7 linked regions of the Oryzias latipes genome follow. The protein of the gene in region 7 purifies or fractionates together with the protein of the main gene of each other region. This does not show direct contact. Links are inferred from orthologs where the notes say so. Each region holds a gene or a part of one and is shown on either strand. Other genes may lie near its edges.

What was found.
Region 1: the proteins of rpa2 (region 7) and top3a purify together in Homo sapiens (affinity purification with mass spectrometry; 4 studies listed by BioGRID and IntAct, with this or other methods). This does not show direct contact. The link is inferred for Oryzias latipes from reciprocal best matches to the Homo sapiens genes RPA2 and TOP3A.
Region 2: the proteins of rpa2 (region 7) and cdc45 purify together in Homo sapiens (affinity purification with western blotting; 3 studies listed by BioGRID and IntAct, with this or other methods). This does not show direct contact. The link is inferred for Oryzias latipes from reciprocal best matches to the Homo sapiens genes RPA2 and CDC45.
Region 3: the proteins of rpa2 (region 7) and rad52 purify together in Homo sapiens (affinity purification with western blotting; 3 studies listed by BioGRID and IntAct, with this or other methods). This does not show direct contact. The link is inferred for Oryzias latipes from reciprocal best matches to the Homo sapiens genes RPA2 and RAD52.
Region 4: the proteins of rpa2 (region 7) and hltf purify together in Homo sapiens (affinity purification with mass spectrometry, with the first as the bait; 3 studies listed by BioGRID). This does not show direct contact. The link is inferred for Oryzias latipes from reciprocal best matches to the Homo sapiens genes RPA2 and HLTF.
Region 5: the proteins of rpa2 (region 7) and zufsp purify together in Homo sapiens (affinity purification with western blotting; 3 studies listed by BioGRID, with this or other methods). This does not show direct contact. The link is inferred for Oryzias latipes from reciprocal best matches to the Homo sapiens genes RPA2 and ZUP1.
Region 6: the proteins of rpa2 (region 7) and cdk7 purify together in Homo sapiens (affinity purification with mass spectrometry; 3 studies listed by BioGRID and IntAct, with this or other methods). This does not show direct contact. The link is inferred for Oryzias latipes from reciprocal best matches to the Homo sapiens genes RPA2 and CDK7.

Annotation. Positions count from the first base shown.
Region 1 is NC_019866.2:19,331,472-19,334,601, forward strand, and holds the end of top3a (DNA topoisomerase 3-alpha), read left to right. Parts: intron 1-1,879; coding exon 1,880-2,019; 3' UTR 2,020-2,630; downstream 2,631-3,130. UniProt on the Homo sapiens protein: Releases the supercoiling and torsional tension of DNA introduced during the DNA replication and transcription by transiently cleaving and rejoining one strand of the DNA duplex.
Region 2 is NC_019867.2:6,361,976-6,366,248, forward strand, and holds the start of cdc45 (cell division control protein 45 homolog), read right to left. Parts: upstream 2,801-4,273; 5' UTR 2,669-2,800; coding exon 2,618-2,668; intron 2,474-2,617; coding exon 2,414-2,473; intron 516-2,413; coding exon 423-515; intron 321-422; coding exon 183-320; intron 1-182. UniProt on the Homo sapiens protein: Required for initiation of chromosomal DNA replication. Core component of CDC45-MCM-GINS (CMG) helicase, the molecular machine that unwinds template DNA during replication, and around which the replisome is built.
Region 3 is NC_019864.2:21,084,115-21,088,402, reverse strand, and holds the start of rad52 (DNA repair protein RAD52 homolog), read left to right. Parts: upstream 1-1,488; 5' UTR 1,489-1,854; intron 1,855-1,867; exon of another isoform or gene 1,868-2,026; 5' UTR 2,027-2,048; coding exon 2,049-2,096; intron 2,097-2,377; coding exon 2,378-2,479; intron 2,480-2,569; coding exon 2,570-2,663; intron 2,664-2,738; coding exon 2,739-2,806; intron 2,807-2,893; coding exon 2,894-3,012; intron 3,013-3,103; coding exon 3,104-3,179; intron 3,180-3,268; coding exon 3,269-3,495; intron 3,496-3,574; coding exon 3,575-3,744; intron 3,745-4,288. Other genes in the region: proline-rich protein 5, read right to left, coding at 208-240. UniProt on the Homo sapiens protein: Involved in double-stranded break repair. Plays a central role in genetic recombination and DNA repair by promoting the annealing of complementary single-stranded DNA and by stimulation of the RAD51 recombinase.
Region 4 is NC_019880.2:5,878,504-5,882,802, reverse strand, and holds the start of hltf (helicase-like transcription factor), read left to right. Parts: upstream 1-1,499; 5' UTR 1,500-1,629; intron 1,630-2,264; 5' UTR 2,265-2,266; coding exon 2,267-2,455; intron 2,456-2,532; coding exon 2,533-2,699; intron 2,700-3,968; coding exon 3,969-4,111; intron 4,112-4,187; coding exon 4,188-4,267; intron 4,268-4,299. UniProt on the Homo sapiens protein: Has both helicase and E3 ubiquitin ligase activities. Possesses intrinsic ATP-dependent nucleosome-remodeling activity; This activity may be required for transcriptional activation or repression of specific target promoters.
Region 5 is NC_019874.2:5,464,977-5,467,324, reverse strand, and holds the end of zufsp (zinc finger with UFM1-specific peptidase domain protein), read left to right. Parts: intron 1-551; coding exon 552-717; intron 718-793; coding exon 794-954; intron 955-1,444; coding exon 1,445-1,650; intron 1,651-1,714; coding exon 1,715-1,762; 3' UTR 1,763-1,848; downstream 1,849-2,348. UniProt on the Homo sapiens protein: Deubiquitinase with endodeubiquitinase activity that specifically interacts with and cleaves 'Lys-63'-linked long polyubiquitin chains. Shows only weak activity against 'Lys-11' and 'Lys-48'-linked chains.
Region 6 is NC_019867.2:13,787,388-13,791,324, forward strand, and holds the start of cdk7 (cyclin-dependent kinase 7), read left to right. Parts: upstream 1-1,137; 5' UTR 1,138-1,194; coding exon 1,195-1,260; intron 1,261-1,529; coding exon 1,530-1,589; intron 1,590-1,684; coding exon 1,685-1,718; intron 1,719-1,801; coding exon 1,802-1,869; intron 1,870-2,044; coding exon 2,045-2,113; intron 2,114-2,830; coding exon 2,831-2,941; intron 2,942-3,061; coding exon 3,062-3,180; intron 3,181-3,937. UniProt on the Homo sapiens protein: Serine/threonine kinase involved in cell cycle control and in RNA polymerase II-mediated RNA transcription. Cyclin-dependent kinases (CDKs) are activated by the binding to a cyclin and mediate the progression through the cell cycle.
Region 7 is NC_019874.2:22,815,095-22,819,334, reverse strand, and holds the start of rpa2 (replication protein A 32 kDa subunit), read left to right. Parts: upstream 1-1,440; 5' UTR 1,441-1,563; coding exon 1,564-1,576; intron 1,577-1,808; coding exon 1,809-1,900; intron 1,901-2,134; coding exon 2,135-2,236; intron 2,237-3,137; coding exon 3,138-3,251; intron 3,252-3,466; coding exon 3,467-3,541; intron 3,542-3,998; coding exon 3,999-4,115; intron 4,116-4,240. Other genes in the region: smpdl3b (acid sphingomyelinase-like phosphodiesterase 3b), read right to left, coding at 152-365, 449-509. UniProt on the Homo sapiens protein: As part of the heterotrimeric replication protein A complex (RPA/RP-A), binds and stabilizes single-stranded DNA intermediates that form during DNA replication or upon DNA stress.

The sequences.
Region 1 (3,130 bases), on a different chromosome or scaffold from region 7:
TCACTGTAAAGCCGTTGACCTCAATTCATGTGTCTGCCTCCTCCCTGAACTCACGTTGACCTTTTTCTCTGGTTGGTATGCAGCTTTTATGTTGACATTATGGCCACTTCCCCTTGTTCTTCCAGAGGCAATTGTCTGTCTGCCACATCACATACGTTCCCCTTCATGTAGCGGCGGAGACAGTTTGTCCAAAATAGTTCAAGTCCCCCTGAACTCAACTTCCCTCTGTTGGGTCAGAACAAACAGGACTTTTTGATCATCAACTTTCATCTGATGACGGTTCTGTGGGGCTTTTTGTTTGTTTTTGACAGCTCTGTTACTACATCAGACATGGTTTATTATCTCTTTCAAAACAGCACCAATCTGAAACTCATTACAGATGGGGGCACAGATTTGTGCTTTCGTTTGGCGTCTGATTTGAGCTTTTTTCCAGATAATTTTACAGATTGTGCTTTCAGATAAGCAAGCAGCAGTGCTGCTGAAACTCCCCCACTTTAATGAGGTACAGCCATGACTACATTTACCGTAAGAATGGACAAACCGTGCGGTCATGTGACACGTTGGAAGCAGGATTTTTTAGCTTGGCCATCATATGTGACGCCATCAAACCCTGAGCTTCACCAAAATAGGTAAATATGTGGGAATGCGGTTGGACTGAGCGATCAAAAGACTTCACCCGTGTTTTAGAGACCAAGCAGAGAGGCAGGAGAGCACAGAGTAGAACACAGACGTGTTTGATGCAAGTTTGGGTTTATTTTACCCCCCCCCCCCCCCCCCCAAAAAAAAGCTGAATTTTAACGCAAGGCCTGGAAACTAGGTGAACATGTCTTACACTAAACTGATCAGAGACACAAAAGATTTTAATCAAACCATCAGAAACATAAAGGGGTAAACAAGAACAACTAAACCCTAAAGAAAACAAATCAAAACACTCCACACACTTCAGACCTGCAGATACAGTGGAGTGCAAAAAGAAGAACCGTGCTTTCTGTAACTAAATCATCTTCATGAGAATGCACCATTTCATGCTGCAAGGAATGCCTCTGCATCATTGGCTGCATAAAAGGAGAGAAACTGATGGTGTGGCCCCCATCCTCCCTCGGCCCTCAACCCTATTGAGAACCTTTGGAGCATCCTCAAGCAAAAGATCTACGAGGGTGGGAAGCAGTTCACATCCAAACAGCAGCTCTATGAGGCTATTCTGACATCCTGCAAAGAAATTCAAGAAGAAACTCTCCAAAAACTCACAAGTTCAATGGATGCAAGAATTGTGGAGCTGCTACAAAATAAGGGGTCCTATGTTCAAATCTAACTTGACCTATTGAGGTGTTTTCGATTGGAATAGTTTTTGATTTCAGTAAATATGACCTCCTAATGCAGCAAACTCAACAAATGACTGATTTCAGTTCTTTAGAAGCTCTAAAATGTTGGGAAACTCTGTTGTGTGAAATAATGTGGAACACTGACTTTAAAAGTTTTTTTAAATATTATCTTTAGGAGGTTTGTTCAATAACATTCATTATATCTTCTGATGGTTAGTGACATCAAAACTGTGCTGACTGTCAGTTGGATTGAATATTTAGAAAAATCATAGAAAACTATCATTTGCATAATGATTTGGAGCACGCTGCAAGAAGTGGCACAAGCACTATGAGTCTAAACATGATATCAACAGGAAATCTGCACTGACTCAATGCGGTCCTGCACACTTGCATTTTGAATCAAAACCAAATTCTGTGTTTTCAGTTTTCTTTATGATTTCCTTCCTGTCTTTGGTATTTGTCAAAGTTTGCTCTTGTTCTGTCCCTTAAGAAGCGACTATAATTGAAGTCAGGTGAGGTTTAGCGGCTCTGATGTTTTACCTGTCCTGCTCTTTCAGATGGTGGATTCAATAGGTTAGAAGATGGAAGAAGGAAAGTGATGGGGGACTCGAACAAACCCCCCACCGCCAAGAAACCTCGCCACTGTGGCAACTGCCACATGCCGGGACACACCCGGGTCACCTGTCCACAGCGGTGACCTCTCTAGTAATACTACTTTAGCGTGTTTTACATCTCAATCAGAGGTCCACCACCAAACCTTCTGAAGATGACCGCCTCTGATCTGGATGGAAGCACACGGCGTCTGGCAAAACTGAACCGCAAGCGCCTGAAACCTGCCGATTAAACTCTGTAGATCCTGGAGGAAAAGCTGGAGAGATGCAGCTGCACTTTGCAAGACGAGGTGTTGAACTATTTAAAAAAAAAAGTCTTGTAGGAGTTTGTAACCACAGTAACCTAGAAAGGATGTTCAGCATTTAATTTCAGATTTCCCCTCCTGGATCTAACAACAAGCTCACATCATCTGGTGAGGGTCGGGTGGAAGGAGGTGATGCTGCTGTAGAAACCGTGCTGCCTTCAGTGACTCCGAGAATTTCAATGCAGGACAAGAAGTTCCTTCCTAATTATTGTTGTTATAGATGAATAAACGAACTTTAGATTATTTTTACCTTCAAGTGTCTTAAAACGTAATTGGAAATTTGACAGTTGTTAGGATTGTTGATGAAAACACACCTTAGCGGAAAGACGACAGGATTTTATTTCATGTTTCTGCAACAGACTTTTAATGCAATAAACCTGAAAGTTCTCCAGGTTTAGTTTCCTTTTCTATTCATGAGGTCTTTGCTTTTGCTTTCCTGTTGAGTCCTGGTTTAATGGGGGATCAGCAGAATAGTTTTGGTTTCAATTTATGACTCAGTTTCGTTTATTTTCATGTTGAGTCCTGTGTTTGAGGTGAAAATCCCCAAACTCAACGGTTGGCCTTCATCATTTCACTGGTGGCTTGACCTTGAGGAGGAGGCAGGAGGCTCCGGGCTGGTCCCCGGTGGATCAGGAAAGACCGATCCTTGGTTGAAAACAGTGGTTGGCGAGCTCGGTCAGAAACTCTTTTCTTCAGAACCCCCCCCCCCCCCCCCCCCCCCCCCCCCCCAAACATGCGTTAAATGTAAACGTCAGAAGTGCGGAGCAGAAACGCAGATTCCCGGTAAAAGGGGTTGAAGTAGCTCCTGCGTCTGCGCGCGCCTCGCATTTCCTGAGAAGCGCGCGTGTTTCTGGCACGTTCGGTGAGTCATGCGTGACTCATAAGTTGTGGG
Region 2 (4,273 bases), on a different chromosome or scaffold from region 7:
GGGGAAATGAACAGAAGTGGTTTCCACGTGGTTTTCATATTTGCAGCAAAAGTAAGAACAAAAAAAGCTCATTGATAAACAAGATGTTCTGAATCAGAAAATAGCTGAAGAGTTTGTGTTTTATTTGTTGTTCAAGAGTTTACTACTCCTAAACGTGAAAAAAGCAGATCATGATGCATCACCTGGGTGTCATTGTAAACATTGACAACATCAACAGGCCGATGAGTATCACAGATGAAGAAGATGGAGTCATCATCGGGCTGCAGCATTTCCAGCAGGTCAACATTTGCCCCACAGTTGATGAGAACAAAATAACGAAACTAAAACAAAATCAAAATAATCATTAAGGAAAGATTTTTTTTTTAACATTATCAACTTCAAGTCAAACATAGGAGTGACACTTTTTTTAAAAATAAGTTTACCTGCTCTTTGTGTTCAAGGAAGGCTGTGCCAAGTTCCTGCCAGCCTGTCACTGGAACAAGTGTATACTGGATGTGGTCACAGTGAAACAACGCCTAGAAATAAAAGCAAATAGGAAAATCAGCCATTTTTCCAACACTTCCAAAACAAAGAATTAAATTAGATTTGACAGTGATGAAAGTCAGGCAAGGAAAAAATCCCTGAACTTTTCTTTGAGCGATATGGCGGCGCAGAGAGAAATTTTTGAAAAATACATAGTCTTAGATGCATTCTGGTGCATTCTGGCAGCTCGTTATTCACTTCTTAATCAAGAAACTAAGACTAATAGGAGCATCATGATTTGTCATTCAAACCCCTAGTTTGACTTAACATTAAGGACTTGCTGGTCCTAAAAAAGAATTTGGATCATTGCTCATAGTATAACAATCCTACAATCTAAGCTTTTCCTAAAATCTGCAAAAGATACAATTGCTAAAATATAGTAACATCAAAGCCCCAAATGGCAAAAAGAACACCAGTAACTATGATATTCTATGAAAATACCTCATTTATTTGTACATTATTTCTGCTTTAGAAATGACTGATGTACAACATCCACTTGCACTGTTTTCTCAAACTATAATTACATCAAAATATGGGATCTGCTTTAAACTATAATTCTATAACATAATACATCAATTCTTTAACACCAATACTAAGTAATCTGGGAAATATCAAAACAAACATACAAACTAAGCTAAACATTGTAAACATTATTTTTTAAGGGAGTCTGGGTCCAAACCACCAAATACTTATAATTAATGTCAATTATACTGAACTAAATCATGGTAATTAGGAAATACAAATAAATTAGATAGAGAAATGTATTCAAAATAAAAACTGAAACTCAAAACTAAAAGAGAAATTATTTCTGAATTTGGTTTTGAGATTATTTTACACAAAAAGCATTTGACCTTAAAAATATTTTTCTTCCAGCCAAGACCACTTCAATTTGTTTTTTATCGTCTTCTCACAACTGAGGTCGTGACCACGCTCAATAATGACGATGCCCGCCATTATTTTAACACAAATTTGATCACAAACTCTTCAGATGTGTTTGTGAAAGTTTAGCGTCGGTCCGCCGGTTTTGGTCTCTAGGGAAGCAAGTCACGCTGACCACGTGGTGCAGACAGAGCCAATCAGACCCGTCGACGCATCCGAAAGCAACTAAAACGTCCCGTCATTGGTCAATAGGCCGGGAAGACGAGAGATGGCCGCGCCCATAGAGGAAGCGATCCGCGGAAAAATATAGAAAATAAAGCTAAAATTTGCCGATTACAGACCATTTTTTCATCCGGAAAGCGATTTGTCCGTAGAGATCAGGTCTTTATTTCCCGGAAAGTACGTTCGGTTTGCTCAAAAACCCGGATTTCCGGGAATTCCCGGAAGACTTTCATCACTGATTTGAAAACAAATATTTTATCAGCACCGAATGTCTTCTTTTAGAGACTAAAAAGGTAGTTTAAATCCATGTAAAATAACTGACTAAATAGAAAAACAAACCATATTGCTCTTAAACAGGCATGTCTGACGTTCCAACATGTATATATAATCAATCTATAATGTATAACTAACATGCAGTTTATAACAGTAACAATACACTTAATTAAATAAAGTTTAAAAGCATTTTTCCTAAACATAAAGCAATAAAAAGGCAGAAATACAACTATAAATATCAATTTATTTGTAAAAATCGCATTTGTTTTTACATACATTAACTTGCAATTAATTTTCAAATATTGATCAAGTCAAAATTACAATTTTAGGACTTATATTAAATTGCTTCAGATGTGTAGGTTGGTTGAATTCTGCGTCTATCTATACGGCTCTGTAAAACTCAGAATATTTAATTACTCAAATATTTAAAGAGTGTTTACAAAACTACCGCAAATAACCGCTTTTCTGAGGATAAAAGTTAAACAGAGTAGTTTCTTAAGTTGGCTTATCTTCTTACCTGCAGGATTTTACAGGCACAAAGAGCGTCGATGTCCCCAGCAACCAGAAGTGCAACTCTCTAAAGTTCAGACATACGATATTATGACGAGATGTTAATGTCTCAAATGTACAACTGAACCGAGCGCTTGTACTTGAACACTACAATACTTCATATATTAGCTTGCTAGCAAACAAATTCACAAAATTAGACCTAAAAACTTACTTGGTTGGCAACAACTTCATAAAAATCCTTTTTAATATCTGTGATAAACATGTTGCAATATCAAATATAAAAGTTCCAGATTACACCAGAGCGTTAAAACCAACATAAAATGTATTTGACGGGGATTTGTTTTTGTTAGCTGTCAAGCTCTGCGCTCTCACAGTGGAGTAGGAAATGTTCCGGTTAGAATTGTGGCGCCAAACCTGTGAACCAATCACTTGGTACAAAATTGTAGACGTCACTGGAATCACAACACGCCCACTCATCTGAAAACAATATGGCGTCACACTGCCCTCCGTTCAGCGCATAAATACATTTAATTTAATTTCAATTCTTGATAAATTATTAAACATAAACAAACAAAATAAACATGTATAACTTTTTTTGAACCAAAAGATATTTAATTTTGCTTTAAAATGTCTCTTTGTAAAATTCTGCATTTTAAAATACATAAAATTCCACCCATAATTGTTATTTTAAAGGTTGTGTGTTATTTTGTCATTTTACTGAACTATAAATCAAATAAAAAAGCTTAATTATGACTAATGTAGAATAATTCAAATTTTACAAAACTGCTATAGTTTCAAAGCAAATTGAAATATTTCTCACTACAAAAAGACCCATTGCAAAAATGTGTAGTTAAAATTCAATAGTACTTTTATTTAGACTACCTGTAGGTTGAGAGGTAGTAATTATTTATGTATTATTTGATTAAGAATTTGCTTTTAAAATTAACTAAAATAAAAAAAATTGACTCATGATTTTTCTTATGTAACATAATTTTGCACATATTTTAACTGTTACTTTCACTTGAGAAATTAATTATCATTAATTTTGTTGTTTTGTTATGAGTGTTGTTGAGTGGGGGTTTGGATTTTTATAAAATTTATAAAATTATTGTTATGATGATTTTTGAAACAGTGTTATGTCTATTTTACTGATATAGTATTATTTTTTTAATCATATAAATGACTTTAATAAGTAACATAATCTGCATATATTTTGGATAAATGATCTGCTTTTGCCATGTTGATTTCTAAAATTGTTATTTGTACATGATAGTTTAAGTAATTCATTTTTGTCATGTGCTTTATTGATACCTAAGGATTCTGAATTCTGTCTGATAAAATTTATGAACCGGATGTTGATAAATCATGGTTACGGTAGAACAGGTGTGGGATTATATAAGTTCCCTTCCTTCCACTCCCTTTCAAGCAATATTTATTAATATGTCTAATTCTCCTAAGTTTAATTCGTCATTGTATGAATCTATAACTGATGATTGTATTGTTTTTGTGTACTATTCTTATTTGATTGCTTGAAATAACCCATTTTAAATTAAAAAAATCAAATAAAACTAACAAAATTCTGGTGCTCCCCTCTGTAGTGAAACCTGAATCAGTTGGAGTCTTTCACTCAAACCACTACAAGACCCAAATACCTGTGTACAGGTGCAGAGGTCTAATCGTAAAATTATTTCATTGCAGTGATTGACTCAAAATAATAAATCAAAGATACTCATAGATACGCTGTTGTTTATATTTTGTTGGTTTATAAAGTTGTTCGGGAATTGTAAAAAAATAAAATAAAAGCCACATTTGACATAGCCAGTTTTCAATAAATATTAATGTGATACTGTTTCGAAAGTAAGTGACT
Region 3 (4,288 bases), on a different chromosome or scaffold from region 7:
CGAGCAGTCGTGCGTATACGTGGAGCTGCTCCATTGATCTGTGCGGCCGGAATGGAGCGCAGTGTAAACAAAGCCGCTCGTCGTCTGAAGGCACCCGGAGAAGCTGGCGCAGAGGGCCAGGGAGGGGGGGCTTGTATGGATAGGAAAGTGTGTCGCCAAGTTGCGGTGTGTCCTGCGCCTCTGCCCGCCCACAGAACCCGAACTCACCGTTCCTGATCCCGGTGCTGCTCCCTGTAACATGAAACGATCCTGAAGAGCGGAGAGGAAAGCGCCTGTTGTTGGCTCATTAGCTCATCCACCACAGATCCCACGTGGTCGGAGCAGCCTTGCAGGCATCGGGTCGCGGGTGGAAGAAGGATCCTACCTGGGACGCCGCAGGCTCATTCAGGAGGCTGGTGGTGGAGTGGCAGCTCGCTCCGTCGCTCCTCCCTCGTTCTCTGGCTTTGGCTCGTCCCCGCTTTGTTTTGACGTGATGCAAAAGATAATCTGGACGCGTGGACGCGCTTTGTGGTTACAGCTGCGTGCATGAAAGGGAAATTATAAAATGTTTGGAAGAGGAACAAACACAACTTTTTAAGGCATCGCATCACACGGAGCGTGTGTGACGAGGAAAGCGAGTCTCACTGATGACCTGAGCGCAAAAATGCGTAAAATGCGCCACGTTGCCCGGGATTACACTATAGTTTCCCCCAAAACGGCATAAATATTAAACCATCAGATAATTTAGTATAAACTCATTGACCAGATGCGAAAATTGGCGCAAGATGTTTGTATTTTAACTGAACGAAAAACAAATAAACGTGTTTAAACGGCAAATTGAGACATAAACTAGAATATGACCTGATTAAAAAAAAAGATGTATAAATGTAGGACAAAAGAAAAAATATCAAAGCAGGAACAATTCTGCAAAATGATGAAAAAACACCAAAACCCACAAAAAACAAGAAAAAAGGGCATAAAATCGTAAAATGTTTATACAATTTGTGTAAGTTTAGTCATTTATCTCCAAAGATGAAAAAAGGCCAAACGAGAAAATCAAAACAAATATGATACCGAAATAAAAAAAATAGGAACAAAAATCCGAAAGATTTTTCAAGGAAAAAAAATAGAAAGGGAGATGACGGTTTTTCCCGTAAATAATGTAGACTTCAATATCAGCATTCTGTTTTTCTGATGGTCTGTTGGAGATCTTAGGAAGATTTCCGAAATGAAATTAGACAAATAAAACGAATCAAAATGTATGTTATTACTATTATTATTACTATTATTATTACTACTATTATTATTATTATTATCATCATCATCATCGGGGGGTGGTGGGGTGGGCTGTTTTTTTGTTTTTATGTTTGTTTGTTTTCACAAACCTTATAAGTACAAAAGGCACAAAAAGTACAAAAGGTTAAACATTTACTATGGTTTAAGATTAGAACAGTTTGTGAGCAATTTTTGCTTCACTTTTTAAAAATCATATGTAAAAAATACTAATAATAGACTGTAATGTTGTTACGTTTTAGGCTATTTCAGGTATATCTCGTTAATGCAAGTATCTACCCAAAAAAAGACTGAAAACAGATAGTTGCGATGAAGTTAAATGCATTCTTTTCACTATCTAACATGGGTAGTTTAAACATAAGTAATATTGAATGCGTTCCATGTGTGCTTATATCAGTTGAAGTGACTAAAGATCACTTTGAAGAATACATGTTAAACTGATGCCAATAGTTGAATTTCCGTTTACCCTGATGGCATCATTTCATCCTCTTCCGGTTCTCTAAGCGGGAGGTTCAAATCCTCGTAGTGTAAATGCTAACTATTCAGGTTCGTTTTTAACACGGAAAACACATTTTAAATAAGGTGAGTTGTGTCTAAGAGCATTTATTGTAGAATTTTATCTCCTAATAATGGAATATTAGCGAGCGTGCTAAAGCTAGCTTGATCTCCTTGTGTTTTTTGGCTAGCTTTCTGCGTCACTTTTTGCATGATTGGGTGAATTGAGATGACATTTGAAGTACTAGCTGCATGCAAGTTTGTGTTTCAGGCTAGCCATAATGTCGGCTGAGGAAAGGGGCTTCCCTGCACCCACAAAGTTCGGACAGGTTAGTCGATTTACAAACGTACAACTACAACGCCATGATACGATTGAGTAGATGTGCGCATGCTCCACTCACTTAGCTAGAAAATTGGATGCTCCTATTCTCACATCATCCCCATCACTGTAAGGATGCATGCAAGATAAGTGGAACCACCATCTCCTTTAATGTGTTTATATAGATTCATTAAGTGCAAAATAAAATCCTCAAGGCTGTAATAAATAACGTGTAACTTGTTTGTTTACCTTTTCTTCTGTGGCGTGTTATACTGTTCTGCACCCACCCAGTGCACCTACACAGCAGAGGAGTACCAGGCTGTCCACAATGCCTTGCGACAGAAACTGGGACCAGAGTACATCAGTACCAGAATGGCAGGAGGAGGCCAGAAGGCAATTATAGCAAACATATGTTCATTTTTTGCCCAAATTATTCTCTATCTAAACACTTATTCCTAATTGTTTTTGGTTTTTTTTCACCAGGTGTGTTACATTGAAGGACACCGTGTCATTGGCCTGGCCAACGAGATGTTTGGGTACAATGGATGGTCTCACTCCATTTCCCAGCAGAATGTCGGTACGAGAAGCTCAACTCCAAAGCGTTCAGTTCAATTCCGCAAAGCAGATTAACAGTCAGAGGTTTTGCTTCCAGACTTTGTAGACCTTGTCAATGGGAGGTTTTACGTGGGAGTCAGCGCCTTTGTCAAAGTGCAGCTGAAGGTTTGGCGTTGTCATTTGTTTGAATCTGCACCTATAATCCCACAGTGAATGATTTAAAGTACTGTCTAACAAATCTCCTGCCTCTAGGATGGGTCGTTTCATGAGGACGTGGGATATGGAGTTAGTGAGGGCCTGAAATCTAAAGCTCTGTCTCTGGAAAAAGCCAGGAAAGAGGCGGTCACTGACGGCATGAAGAGAGCACTGAAGTCAATAATTCACACAGCAGTATTTATTACTTCATAAATCAATTAGATTAATCCACTATTTGACATAAATATCTGCTTTTTTTTTGTTCAGATGTTTTGGTAATGCCCTCGGAAACTGCATCCTCGATAAAGAATATCTTCTTGCCATTAATAAGATCCCCAGACAGGTCAGACTCAACATATGAAGTAAATTCTCCTTTAGTCTGGATTATTGTCTTCCATTTATGGTTCTAAGATTTTCATTTTCTGTACAAAGCCTCCAGCACCTTTGGACCCAGCAAAGACTAAGCGTTCTGAAGGCGAACCGTCAATCGAGAAGGCCCGGTTCAGCAGTCTTGGCCGAGAGGAGAAACTACTATGTGCAGCGGGTTCTTCCAGGATGCCACTAGAACCCAGAGTATTGAACCAGAATCAGTCTGAACTTCACACACCGAGTGCTGCCAGCTCTGTTCCCAACGTAAAGAGTGAGGATGTCAGCTCCAGGTAAAAAGTAAAAGCTGCTTTGAGACCCTAGCTTCCCATACAAATTCACATCACCTTCTCTCACTGTCCTTCTTTGAAGATCTTTTGGGTCAGAGGTGCACACAGACCCTAAACACTTACGAAAACTCAGACAGCAGGAACTTCAGCAGAAGTTCAAGAAGGAGATGGAGGCCAAGAAGCTCCAGCAGAACCTGGATCAAGTCAAGACAGAGGAGTCTCCGGCACCTGGTGAACGGCGATCCTCTGGAGGTAAAGGTTTGGAGAGGAACAAGTATGGAGGCAACCTGAAATTTCTATTCCATTCAATTACAGTAGAAAAATTCCCACTCCGATTATCTCTTGATCTATATCAAAGTGTTCCCAGTGATTTTGATTATGCTGTTTTTAGCCTTAGAAAAAAAAAACATGTCATTTTTAATGAGACAGATCAGCAGTAGTTCACTGAGTTGTGGATGGACTGTTGGCATGGGGTAACCCCGGCCCCTTTCCCATCATCCACCTGTTTTCATGCTCATTATCTATCAAGCCGTACATTTGTGCCAGGTGCCCGCTCGGACATCTAGTCGTCTACAAGTGGATGCATTAGAACAGGGGTGGGCAATTCCAGGCCTCGAGGGCTGGTGTGTCTGCATGATTTCTAGATAGTCTTGCTCTACTCATGGCTGATTACCTGGTTCAGGTGTGTCCAGCCAATCAGAACATGCCAGAGCAGGGTATGCTGGAAAACATGCAGGAATGCGGCCCTCAGTGCCCACCCCTGCATTAGAATGAAGCAGAGCTTGTGGCTGTACAA
Region 4 (4,299 bases), on a different chromosome or scaffold from region 7:
AAATAAAGTTTAATAGAAAAAAAAGAACCAGTGCAGCTTTTAATTGGTTGATCTTTGTTTTTCTTATTAAATAATCAAAACACCAATGAATTTTCACTAAAACGGTCTAAGCCTCCCCATGATAACAACAACAAAGCTTTGAAAAACGAAAAAGTGAAAATACTGCAAAAAAAAAGTATGAGCAGGGATCATTTCACCGAACTGATTTCACTTAACTAAGTTACTACTCAACAGATCGATAAGTTGGTTTCTTTACAAGTGGAAGAGAAAGGAAGTCCCAACAAAGTGACAGTAAAAGTGATCCAATAACTCATATAAACTATAGAGCTCACCTGTGTTGTGCCAACAAGTATCTGCAGGTCGTAATTTGAATTTCTGCTCTGTCTGTCTGGGTAAATCCTCAAACGTTCTCCAGTGGCTTACTTACTTTGAATCCGACTATAAATCCAGATTTGAGCCGGAGATTTCGCGAAGACTTCCACGTTCGTCAAGAGAAACGGCGGTTTCTCAGACACGGTGGACTTTTGTCGTTTTTTCTCTCCCGGCACTCTGTGCTTCGTTCGGTCCAAGGAGGAACCTGGTGGAGAGAAGAGGAAGCGGAACCTCGCACAAACATGAGGATTCGGGACCTAGCGGCACCCGTAGCGCTCACATTTAATCAAAATTAAAAATGTAAATACTTTTCCCTGAATTTAGCTAAATGCAATGCATATGAAACTCGCGCAGAGAAAGATATAATCAATATAATTCCAAACAACATCGGTGAAAGAACGATTACGAAGAACTAAAGTGTATCTTCAAACAGATATGCACTGCGCATGTGTGTTGACCTCAACGGAACCAACAAGTTGGATTCTTTAGATTTTCAAAACAAAATATCCAACATGAATAATTGAGGGTCGTTGTTTTTTATCATTAAGAGCTCAAAAATACACCTAAAAAACACACAATAATAGCTCACAGTATATATAATCTGAATTATAATTTCATAAAATGTTGAATTTGTTGTCTTTATGTTGCACAAGCTTTACATTTTTGTGCAAATATTTCTATATCTACCATATCAAATCATGATAAATCTCTCTTTGTGTATGAAAAATATAACTATGTTATAACTATGAACTATGAAATATAACTGATGAAGTACACTGATGAAGTATACCTTCAGGAGCCCGGTGTACTGTTTTTATAAAATAAATTAAATAGTGATAATAATGTAATGCAGATACAATCTTCATTTTTGATAATTATGGAAAAAAACAAAAATAAAACCATACTAAAAATGACATTGTAATGCAAAGACAGGATAAATGACGACTGCTGCCAGTGCATCCACATAAAAGATTGATAACATACTGCACTTACCAAAACTTTTATTATCAACTTCAGAATTAAATTCTTATATTATACAAAGTTCTACATCAAGCAGCTATAACAAACAAATAAAAAAATAAAAATAACACCAAAAAGCATGTCATTGGGTTTTATTTTGAAAGTTAACAACGGAAGGATTATTCTAGGCGCAGATGTGTTTCATTTGAAAGTGCTGTGAACATTGTGTCGCAGTTGATAGCAGGATACTTGCAGGGAAACCGTACAAAAACTATCAACACTGAAGGAAGATCGAAAGTAAGGCCTCGTTATTATATGCTGATATTTATTACATTCTGTGTTCTTCCGTTAGCACGAGAACAAACGGCGCGTGCTAGCTTAGTAACACTTACCTACTTTACTTTCCATAAGAATGGCTGTGTTTCGTTTTCTCGAAAACTGTAGTTGAAACGAAAATTAAACTACAAAGTAGTATGAAGCTTCTATACATCTCACCTCCAACATGAGAGCTAGCAGAAAGTTAATTTAAGTTGTGCACCGCTGCCTGCAACTGTTAGTTTCCACAGAACCATCATTTTTTTTAAATAAAAAAAAACTTTATTAACAAATATTGCACATACAGAATATCACACATTACAATCCATACTAGTATGTGCAAATGCCAAAAGTTTCACATTTGCCAGGAAAATTATCAAAAATGTCAAAAAAGCCATTATAATAGCAAGATAAAACAGATTAAAAAATAAAATAGGTAAAGGATTCTGCTAAAGTCTCAAATGTGACCATGTTTCAACTGTTCTAGAAGCTTTTTGGTTAGTGCAGGATTCAATACTATTTACATACAGAATAATTTATTTCTGAAAAATATAAAATAAATACTGCCTTATTTTGTTACAGAACTCTTCATCTTTGCCGTCTTTTTTTGTCTGCAGGTATGCTTTCCCACAGGTGGAGGTCTGGATGGGGCAGGTTCGTTGACGTGGACCTCTTCACAGACAGCCATGAGACTTTGTCCCAGGCCATCAGAGCTGCAGCGTCCGAAGAGCCGGCGGATGCTGACGGCAGCGTGCTGTTCGGCCACCTGAGGGGTTCTGTGGTGGGCCTCAGATATTACACAGGCGTGGTAAGGGTCAGACTGTCTCTTCCACACACACACATAAAAAATACTCCTACATTTCAGAGGGTTTCTTCTCTGGACAGGTGAACCAGGGTGAGATGGTGGGCTTGGTGCGAGAACCTCATAACCCATACGACTGCAATGCAGTGATGGTTGCAAACGTTTATGGCAACCAGGTGGGACACATCAAGAGGGAACTGGCTGCAGCCATGGCCCATGTCATGGACAACAACCTGGCTAAAGTGGAGGGGTGAGTGTCATGGTGCGGTCACTGTGTCGCTTAGGTTTTCTCCTCATACGTTCAGAGCTTTCCATAAAATTTGGAAAAGTTTTTAAAGACCCACTCTGATGAAAGTTGTGTGTTGGGGAGTTTTTTAACATGTCCTTTTGGTATTTTTTTTGATGATGGAGGACATCAATAAAGAAAATTAGGCTTAAATTAGGCATTTCTCAATATTAAATAGAAAAAATATGAAAAGGTGCCATTTGAAGAAGCTTGTAGCTGTGATGTGGAACCTATTTACTGCATTCTGATGCATCCACCTGCAGAGTAACAGATCCATGTACGTCTTTGTTTTCCTCATCCGAGCTGACGTCTCCCTCCAAACTGTACGACTGTATCCCCTTTTTGTCGCACTGGTAATGGTTGGGGGTGTTGGGAGACATAAGGTAGCAGGAGAGAGTGTAAACAGTGGGATGATGGGAAATGAGGGTGGGCTTACTCCACGCCAATGGTTCCACCGACAACTCGTAGGGGAATTTCTGATAAACAAAGTTTTTTTGAATTTGGCTAAAAACAGCATAATCATAATTAAAAGACCACTAGAAACCCTTTGAAAGCAGATCAAAATGGGTCTTTAAAGGTTGTAACAACAGGAATTGATGCCTTTTCTGGTTATTTGCCAGTTTTTTCTGTCTCGGCATAACTTTGCCGTAAAATGGATAAACAGAATTGCAAATCTCGTTTTATTCTAATTTGTAAATGTCTCATTAGTAGAACATTATAAAATCATGATTTTGTTTTGTTTTTCAATAATTCATTCTTAAAGCAAGAAGAGTTAAATTTTAGTTTTTTTTTTAAATTTTAAGATTTGATGTTGTTGTTTTTTTTTTTACCGTATTCTTTCTCCTTCTGTTTTTTTCTTATCATGTATACGTTATTACATTTTCTTTTGATGTACTTTTATCCAATAATTGGAGGAAAAAAAGTCACAATACTGCAATTAACGTCAGAATTTTCTTTGCCCTTTTTTTTTCTTTCTCTATGGCCCTAATCCTTTTCTGTAATTTTAGACCAAATAAGAAATTGTGAAATTGAAAATATAAAAGTATATTGCTTTTCAGTTCTGAAAGACATCCTATAACATTAGGGTTCTTGTTGAACACCAAACGTTAGTTGTGATTGTTCATTTATTTAATGTATATTAGGTTTTTTGTCGTTTTGTTTTTAAATTGACTTTTAGATGAAAACAGAACATAAATGAGTTGATATGAGCGCCGCTGCCTGTGTGGTTGTCAGGGTCGTACCTTACGGAAAAAACAACTCGTTCACCATGCCGGTCATTTTGTCCTTTTGGGGGAAAGAAGAGAACAAAAATGCAGTCCTGGAAAACATGGAACGGCGAGGATTCAAACTGAACTCAGACGGAAACAAATTAGCAGGTATGCCTGAGTCTTTCAGGAACGTCTGTGGATGCTCCAGACACGTCTGGTTTTACTATTATTTGCTTCCTTTCAGGTCAGAAAACCAACAGCATTTCAGGCGCTCGTGCTTTTTCATCCAAAAAAGGAGTGACTGTCCCACTAACTGCAGAGGAGGTAACTGGATTTAACGACATGAAATGTTTGTT
Region 5 (2,348 bases), about 17 Mb from region 7:
TGACACAGAACATGAACCGTGTGTGATTATTGGGCTGTGATTTGTGCGTCAGTTACGTAATTTGAATGCGAAACGTACGCCGTATACGGGAGATAAAAGTTATACATCGGTGGTTCATGCGTTAAAAGTCTGTTAGACATAGCCACAAATTTGTGTATCCCAAAAACCACACACAATTGCATAAGATTTACATAACAATTGCGGATAAACTACGTAAAACATGCATAACCTGCATAATTCTCAATAGACTAAAAGTCCGGAAATCATGTAAAGATCCTAAACCCTCGACAGACATCTGAGCACATCGACAGATAACTAACACAAGAAACACTTTTGAATTCCGTAAATCACGCAAGACTAAAATTTCATACGTGGAAAATGTACACAGTGGCTGAGTGACGTCACGTAGCCTTAAGATAACATTTCCTAAATGAGAGAAAGCACATAACTGACAACCTAAACCAATAAACTGAGGTTTTCATGTGTGCTAATAAATATTAATGTTATTGTTGAGTTTCTCCAAATCCACTGATGTCTTTTTGCTCGGCCAGAAAAGGCAGTTCCTTCTATCCCACAGGTCCAGAGAATGATAGAAGAGGCCTGGAAAGCAGGTGTGGATCCACAAGGAGCATCCCACTTCAACCACCGCCTGCAGGGAACACGGGCCTGGATCGGGGCCACAGAGATCTACGTGTTGCTCACCTGGCTGGGTGTCAGGTGGGACGGCAGCTCTTGCTCCATGTGTAGGCAATGAATTGTTGCTCATGAGCATCATCGCGGTGTTTACCTCCAGAGCACGCATCATTGACTTCCACCAGCCTACGGGCCCCGGGGACACCCATCCCCGGCTGTTTGACTGGGTCAGACAGTACTTCCTTCAGTCCAGCCAGAGCAACAGACTGCCCCCCAAGGTCATCCGAACCAGCCTGCCCCCACTTTACCTTCAGCACCAAGGTAAATGGATGGGGGAGTGTGTTCCAGCAGAGGCTTATTTACATAAAAAAAACTCCTTTGAAAATTTGTCACCACATTTGGTAATTCAGTTGTGAAGTCATGGTTGCCATGGTAACAGTGTTGTTCATACCTTTTATTTTAGCGTCTTTTTCCTCTGAACACCAGAGATGTTTGATGTTCACCAGAGCTCTTACACTTTAGGGTGGGGGCTTTATGCCCATATTGGGTAATTACAGCTGTTGGCTGGAGATCAGAACAACTCTGACTGTGGAATTCCTGTCAGCACGTCTGCTGCCGTGTGAAAAGTTAGTTGTCTACAGGTCAGGCTGTCTTCGTCTTTTGCTCGCGGTTGCCATCGGTGATCGCAAGAGATGCCGTCGTGGTTTCTCGAATTAATTGAGGAGTTTCGGTGTGTCCACTTTGGTGCTATATTTGGGTTAATTTGTCTGATTAGTGGTTCCATCCCTTCAGCTTCCTGCTCTGTCTGCAGGTCACAGCCGCTTGGTTGTCGGCGTGGAGCAGAGGAAAAGCGGCGCCCTGGCCCTTCTCGTTATGGATCCCGGATCGAAGCTGTCACTAAGCACTGATGCGGTTTCCGTGGCGATTCGCCACATCAGGAAGTTCCCCAGCAGCCTGAAGCACAAACAGTATCAGCTGCTGGCGGTGCAGGGGGTGCTGTCTGCAGAGGACAAACAGGTACGCTGGCAGCGCACATCCGCCATCACCTGTTTGATCCTGAAACTGCTCTGTCTCTGTCCAGGCTGCTGTCTTCAACTCCAGGACTCTCTGTGCAGAGAAGATCCCATGAGAGGCTCTCCAAGCATCTTTTTACTGATCACAGTCTTCATAATTTGGTTTTAGATGTTTTATAATAAATGCTTTCCATACAAAAGTGTCTGCTGTGTCATAAGGACCTTTAAAAGGATTTCCTTTTTTAACCCAAAAAATATCCGCAGTAAAGAGAAACTAAAAGACAAAAAAATTAAGTTTTATTTAGCAAACTTTGTTGCTCTAAAGACTATGTTCTAGCAGACAGACAAGGTTTTCAGGATTATAGATGAGCCGCATGTTTATCATGTAAAAAAAGTCAAATGCTTATAAATGTATCAAATTTCACAGTTTGCATCATTTCAGTAAGTTGCAATGAATAAATCCAAAAACTTTATTTCATAACTGTCAGACAACAAGAATAAATGCAACATGTTTTTACTCACACTTAGCAAAAACATAAACTTAACACTTTTGATTTTGCTCCAATTTGTCAAGAAATGAACTCAAAGATCTGAAACATTTTCTACAAACACAAAATAACCATTTTCCTCAAATATTGATCACAAATCTGTGACGGTGAGCACTTGTCCTTTGCTGACAAATTCCGGGTGTGGCATTAAAGA
Region 6 (3,937 bases), on a different chromosome or scaffold from region 7:
TTGTCAACCTCACATTAAAATGAAAATCAGTTGTGAGTGTGTATTGTGTGTGCAGCTGTGTGCAGGCACGGAGACAAGGAGGGTCAAAGGAGAGAAGCCGTGCCTAATCCTCTGGGATGTGAGGGTATCTTACTGTGAATGGAGATGGGATGTAGAGATGTGCTCAGTGGAGCATGGATCACAAAATCTTCCTAACTGACAGAAGAGGCACTCAAGGGACCAATGTTAAAACTGCTCAAATAAAATAAAACAAAATAAAAAGAGAGAAACTGCATGGCAAAAAGAAAAAAACGGAGAGAAATGTAACCGTGGTGCACACTACATCGAGCCATTAAAATCTACTCATGAGCCTATTGTGTTTTTGGACAAACACACTTGAATATTATGGACAGATTGGCTACAAGTAAGCAAACATAGAAACTATTTTAAACAAATCTGAAATCTTTTTAGATCTTTTCAAAAGCAGCTGGAGTTTTTAAATCTTAAAACTGAGTTGGGATTGTTACACTGATGTGCTGTCACTCCACCAAATTAAGGACATTTTCGTAACTCTTAGCAAATAATAGTGGACTTGAAGGTTTTTTTAATTAAGTTTACTTGAGTATAAGTATGAGTATAGTAAGTCTTCTATATACCCTGCACTTACAGTGTACTAATTGTAAATAATTAAACACTTCTCCAGACTAAATCGGAACATTTAGTGTCTTTCAGGAACATTTTAAGTTTACAATATATACCCTAGATTGTATTTAAAAATGTAACTATAATATACTGACTAACTTGTAGAATAGACCATGGGTACTTGTAGTAAACTTAATTTCACTACTTAATGTAAAAACATTTTTTCATTCTTTATTTATTTGTGTAGTAGTGCATTGTCAAAGTGGATGGTGAAGTTGAACTTGGGTTATGAAAGTTGCTTTTAATTTTTCCTCATAAATTAATATCCTTATTTCAGCATTCAATTATCTATTATGACACACTAGTGGTACATACTTTATGACATAATTATCTCATTTTATGTTTAAACAAAACAAGACACAAGAGCGCTCCAAAACAAACGACTTGTGTTGTACAAATTCAATCGACAGGTGGCGCTTTTGTTTTATTTAAAGCTAATTCACCCGGAAACAGTTTGTGAGGACCCTCAACGTGACCGGAAGTGTCATTTACCGAAACTGACAGTTAGCTAACATGTCTGTGGATGTGAAAACAAGATCCAAACGGTATGAGAAACTGGACTTTCTCGGAGAGGGTCAGGTAGGACAGAAACTGTTATGGTAATTTAAAACCTGTTTTTTTTTATTTAAAGCCGTATTGGTATTGTATATCTGCCGAGACAAAGCTCTTAAGCTAACTAGCATTAGCCAATGCCTAATGTCAACAAAGCAACCTGGCCATGCTGCTATTTAAACACAATTAGACCATTTAAAAAATAATAATACTTTCACTTTATCAGCAACAATGACAAAACAAACAAAGAAAAAAGACTGGGAAACTAAACATTATGTTCTTTGTTCCTTCTTTAGTTCGCCACTGTGTACAAAGCCAGAGATAAATTGACTGACACAATAGTTGCCATTAAAAAGGTACGGGCTCTTCCTGGTGATTGTACTTTTTAAATGGTCTATTATGGGTTGTTGTTTATCAACAAACTAGTATCTTTTGTTTGTTTACTTTTCAGATTAAAGTAGGCCACAGAACTGAGGCTAAAGATGGTAAGTGCAGCCTTTCTGCACGTCGTTACTGACAAAGCTGGTGTTGTTTTTTCAACTGTTTGTGCTTCTTTTTACCTATATAGGTATAAATCGAACTGCTCTCCGAGAGATCAAATTGCTGCAGGAGCTGCATCATTCAAATATCATCGGGGTATTGAACTGAATTTGCTCCTGTTAACATACAGACACAATTACAATTTAGAGGAACTGTACTGTCTATTAGTCATGTTACTAAAAACATTTGAATGGCAGCTTATGTTATTGCTTAGTTGTGAATAAACATTTTGTCTAATGCTAACTGTGCTTTTTATTTCCCTTTCTTGTAGCTGCTGGATGCATTTGGGCATAAATCAAACATTAGTCTGGTGTTTGATTTCATGGAAACAGATCTAGAGGTGAGAATGTGTCTATATCCACTTCCTTTCAAGCAATCTTTTATTTACTGTCTAATTATCCTAAGTTTAATACATCTTTTTATGAATGTAAAACTGCTGGTTGTATTGTTTTGTGCATTATTTTTTCTTTGATTGCTTGAAATAAACTATTTCAAATCAAAATCAAAGATATATTCTTATATTTGTCTTCCTTTTCATCTTCATATTTTACCCATTTCTGATGTGTTAGGGTCTAAGATGGGGGGGGGGGCATATCCCTCTGCCTTTCACTCACATTGAGCTTTTTCCATTAGCTGCTTACATTAGCGAAGCAGGAAGGGTGGAAACTGTGAGACATATCTTATATCAACCTAGGAAAACCTTGAATATTTGAGTCATATTTAACATGATTACTTCAGGTAATATGAGTTGATTGAGATAACAGCCTTTGCTTCTCAACATTCGACAAAGGGAAAACATACGGGCCCTGCTGTGTTGATCTTTAAGTCAAATCTTAGCTGATTTGCATGTGTCTCCTTTGTCATTTTATTTATTATACTTTTTAAGAAATCTAAATACATTTTCAGTATGGCTTACAGTTATTAAAATTGTTTTTTCTTCTTCTTTTAATAACAATTTTAATAACTTCTAAAATAAGTTATTAAATGTTAATAGATGGTGATTACTTGGGAGCAAACAGGAAGGTTCTTTCTAACTGCCTTTTTATTTTAATAACAGGTTGTCATTAAAGACACCAGCCTGGTGCTGACTCCAGCCAACATCAAAGCCTACATCCTTATGACTCTACAGGGATTAGAATACATGCACCAGCACTGGATTCTACATAGGGTTAGTGCACTTGTATTTCATACACTACTTTTCATACTTTCATACTGTTCATGGTATGCATGCTTTTGTAATGTTTGGTTTTTCTGTTTATTCTAAGTAATTTATTAATTCTGTTTGCAGGATCTGAAACCCAATAATTTGCTGTTAGACGGTAGCGGAGTCTTGAAGTTGGCAGATTTTGGTTTGGCCAAAGCTTTTGGGAGCCCTAACAGAGTCTACACACATCAAGTTGTTACCAGGTCTGTGCAAACTAAGAACCTGTTAAGAATTTTTAGCTTTTGCTTTACTTTTTACCTTTTGAGCGGAGAGAGTTGCTGTCATCAGCTACACAGCAGAGTTCAATTCGATTCAATTTTATTCATATAGCCCTAAATCACAACAACAGTCGTCTCAATGCGCTTCAGAGTGACGACCGACTTGTAAAGGAAGTCTGCAGAGAAATGTATTCTGCGGAAATATAGACAACAAAAAGGTGACAAAATACTTGCATAAGAAATTTTGTCTGTGTTCTTTTCTTTTGCTCTTTAATAGCAATTTAGAAAAGCAAGACCAAAGCTGCCTGAATATTGTTCATATCTCAATGTTTACGTTTAAAAAAAAAGATTTTAAGAATAAATTGTTTTCATTCAGAAAAATGATAAAATATAAGTAGGTTTAATGTTAAAATGTGTTATTTAATAGTAAATAATGTGTTCAAAAGCTTTACTTTCAAAGAAAATATGGAGTTAACCTCTGTGGCGGTTCCAAATGACTCTTGCCTTGGGCTTTAAAGCTGCTTTTGGGAAAAGTTTCCTGTGTTACAAATGTATTTATTGAGGTTTTTTCACATGTGAGATGGTTCTCAGCTTCTGACTTCCAGCATTAGGTCAATCACACATTAACTTCATCAAATGTTCCTCTGGATTTATTTAAGACACTTTTGTCATTTTGAGATCATTTTCTCAAATTATTATTTATAAAATGAAATTAAATGAAAAATGAATAATCTTTTTTTTA
Region 7 (4,240 bases):
TAATAAAGGAACAAAATAGTTGTCTGAGATGTTTAGTAGACACCTAGAATAAGTGTATATTAGTTATCTAGTAGACATCTTGGTGGGAAATTAGTCTAATTGCACAGAAAAAACCCACAGAGGTTACCATGTAAAGAAGAAAAGTAGGTACCCTGTCCAGATGATGAAGTCTGGGTCTGGAAGAATGCTCTTCATGGCATACACAGAGGAATTGATCAGGTGCCATGGTGAGTCACAAACATAGTCTCCAAATCTACCGGCGCTCAAAGCAGGCCGTTTGCCGCTAGAGGCGCACACCAGCTCCGGTTGATCTGTCACTTCATAAGTTGGGTCCCAGTGCAAATCTGTGATATGCCAAAAGCTTCCTGGAAAAGATCAGCACATAGGCGAAGTAAGTAAATGTCACAAAATCATCTATAACACGCTGGTTACACAAGGCTCTACTTACCAGTGAGAGCAAGAGCTCCTTTGAAAAGCAGACAAGATAAGAAAAAGCTTGTTGCTGTCATGTTTGAGTGTCTGAGAACAGCTGTGCTGGAAAAGACAGGCAAGGGTCTATAAAGGAAGGGCAGAGCGGGCCAACACAACCTTCTTACCAAGGCACTGACATGCTTGTGTGGATCATAATAACTAAACCTTGTTTTATGACACAATATTATTAGTTTTTACGAGAACGCTTAAGATAAGAAGCACTTTTGACAGATTAAATCATTACAAAATAGCTCTCTTTGTCCATCAGAAACTACAAAATGACACTTTTATCATTTGATTCTCCATGGCAAGTCAGAACTAAAGCTTTCAACAGAAAATTGTTTTTCTTCAAATTAAATAAAAGTTTAGAAGTTCATACTAATACAGGGTGTTACTGATTAGCCTATGTTTATTGAGCTGCGGATTTGGAGGCTGAGAAAAATATTACACAATCCTATCACCTTTACTGTTGTTATTTAAACTAAAGACACACAAAAGCAAAAGGCTACCTTAAAAAGCAATTCAAATTTTAGACCATACGATCACACACAAAATACCTTTCACGTTTTATTTTTTTATATTTGTAATTTTTGAGATTTTGATAAGTTATAGTATTTACGCATGCACCAGTGCTCATTACAACTAGAAAACCTTTTTTTTTAAATTGAAAGGAACAAAGATCATCATGTTCCACCTCTTTGCGATAGCGTCATAATTTGCTTGTTATTTCCCGAAATATTTCTATCAGGTGTAGATTTTCTTAGTAAACAAGGATTATTAGATCTTTTAAAATAATACAATCATTATGAAATAAAAACAATGTTAGAGTTTAAGAAAAAAACGGTGGAAATTCCCCATTAATTGGAATGTTTACTCCAAAACCGTGGCAAATGCCTGACAGTCAAAAATCAGGGCCAGTACATTATCTATATACCTCTCGCGATGAAACGTTTCGCGGGAATTATCCCACGCGCATGCGTCTTACATTGAGTTTGGCGCGCGGGAATCAGGTCGTTAAGCAAGTTGGTTGCTCGATTTCACCCCGTCACTAAATTATCTTTGCATTTTAAGAATTACTTACGAAGTGTCAGCATGTGGAATCAAGGTAAATGTCGTATCCAAGTTGTTTGTTTGCCTTTACATCGTTCACACTGGCATGTTTGTGTTGTTTGGTACAGCTAACGTTAGCTTTACTTAACACTCAAGTCAAGTGGCTTCTTTGTTTATTTCTTACAAGTGTAATAGTTTGTTGTCAAATGTGTCTTCCATTAACATTGTAAATATGCCGAAAAGGGAGTTTGCTTCACTTGCTTTCAATTTCTGTGTTGAAACTTTAGGAGGCTACAGTGAGTCGGGAATGGTTGGGGGTTACACGCAGTCTCCTGGAGGCTTTGCATCGCCTGGCTTGTCCCAAGGAGAGAAGAAAGGGGTGAGAAATGACAATGCCGACAGAGTGATGGTGCCTTTCAAAACTTACACCGGTAGTTAAAAGTGATCCATATTAAAGCTTGAACATCTTTAATTCCACATTGTCCCTTTGACCTAACATAAACCGTTTTTATATTATTATTGCACTTGTCTTGTATGCTTGAGTGTTGTTTTAAGCACATAACGGTAACGCTAGTAAAAACTGAAATCCTTCTGTCTGTTTGTTCATCACCAGAGGACCCGTTCCACTCAAATTATACCCTGCACAGTGTCTCAGTTGATGTCTGCATCTCAGGCTGATGAAGCCTTTAAAGTGGGAGAAGTGGAGGTTAACCAGGTAACCTAAAATGCAAAAGAGTATGTCTACTGTAAAGTATTAGATATCATATAATTTTGATTTTACTCTCTCTCTTTAAAAAGATAAAAAAAACACAGACCTATGTATATATTTAATAACGATGGAAGGGAAGGGGACCAAGTCACAGTAAAACAAAGTCTCAATAATTACGGTAATAATTAGTTAATTGGAGCTAAAAAAAAAATCAATGAGTCCAAAAATAATGCCTTATCAATTGGGAAATAATAGATTTAGCTTTTTTCCTAATATATTTGTAAGCTTTTTGTTGGAAACAAAAGCATCAGTAAGTTATGGACTTTTACCTTTCTTTGCTATGTGGCAGATCTTTACAAAAAACACAATAATAATGATAAAATAAAATAGAAAATCTGGAACAAGTAATCTTTTGTTTGGCAAGCTGTTTGACATTTATTGAGCAAATATGCATCAAAGTACTTCCATCTTAAATTACCTTAACTTAGCATCTACATGAAAGCAAAAACATGAATGATTTATTTCATAGCTAGAAGTAAAGTCAGGCATCATAGGGTTAAAGAATGTTTTTTTTTTTTATTAATTAATTTTTTTAAATTAATATTTAACAATATTTTATAACCACGATTGTAAAACTTCAACGTATTCTGCTACACACATGTAGAACTTCTCCTTTCGACTGGTGTTTAAATAATTGATCCAAACTTAAGTCTTGGAAGCAGCAGTAAAATATCTGTTCGGAACAAGAGAGACCAACTCCAGATCCTTTATTTTGAAAAATCAAGACAGGTTTCTGTCTTAAATTTAGTGTTTACTAATGCATAACACTTGGCAACAAACAAACAAAAAACAACAAAAATGTACTTTCATATTGTTTTTATTGCCTTTTTACACATCTCTGTCATAGGTCACCATTGTTGGCATCATCAGAAGCACGGACAAATCCATGACCTACATCCAGTACAGGGTTGATGACATGACAGGTGCTCCTATGGATGTGAAGCAGTGGGTGGATACAGAGGTCAGTTGGTGACAACCCCTTGCTAAATATGATTCATAAGAGACACAGTCTGCAGACCATTGTTGTTTATAAACAACATTTGATCAAATCTACATCTTTATTATCATTGTTGATGCTGTCATTGCTGGTTTCATTAAAATATATATTTTAACATTTATTTCAGTTAACTTCCGGTTTCTAGAAAATAATTTCTCTGATTGGGTTTTATTTTGTAGGATCCGAGTGTGGACAGCACTGTTTTGCCTCCAGGAACATATGTCAAAGTCTCTGGAAACCTACGCTCTTTTCAAGTAAGTGTATTACAGGGCCTGCCAACTTTTATTTTTATCTTATTTTCTTCATGCGGCCCTAACACTGTAAACAAAGGGCCACGCTTTAGGGCCACACAAATTGGAAACTTTTGTCTTTTATCAGTTATTGCATGAATTAACTTAAAAAATGGTTGTCACTGATTTGCCAGTTCTTTATTTAGCTAAAAGGTGCTTTCGTCCCAAAAAATGAAGGTTTAGGCTTTTGTCACCTCTTTCCTGAGCTAAGTGTAGGTTCTTACAGCAGCTGCAAACTTTTTTTAAAGAGCCTCATTTCCTTAGTTTAACACCTATAGCCTCCAAACTTGTTAAAGAGCTTTATTTGCTTTTTTAAACACCTATAACCTGTCTTAAGGTCATTTGTGATTGTTCATTGCTGCTGTTTCAGTTACTCATTTTTGAATTTAGCAGAAAATGTGTGTTTGCCTTCCTGTGTCAGAACCACAGGTCTATGGTGGCGTTCTGTATCAGACCCCTGGAGGACATGAATGAAATCACCTCACACATGCTGGAAGTTGTCCAAGCACACATGGCGCTCGGCAAACCGCAGAACACCGTAAGTAATTGAAACTTTTACTTCTGCAGTTCTCATCTCAAGTGAAAACCTCTGAGAATGAGGAACTGAATGTTGATGCGTGCGACCCAGAGAGTTTCGAGGTTTTCTCGTTGAATCCAGTAAAG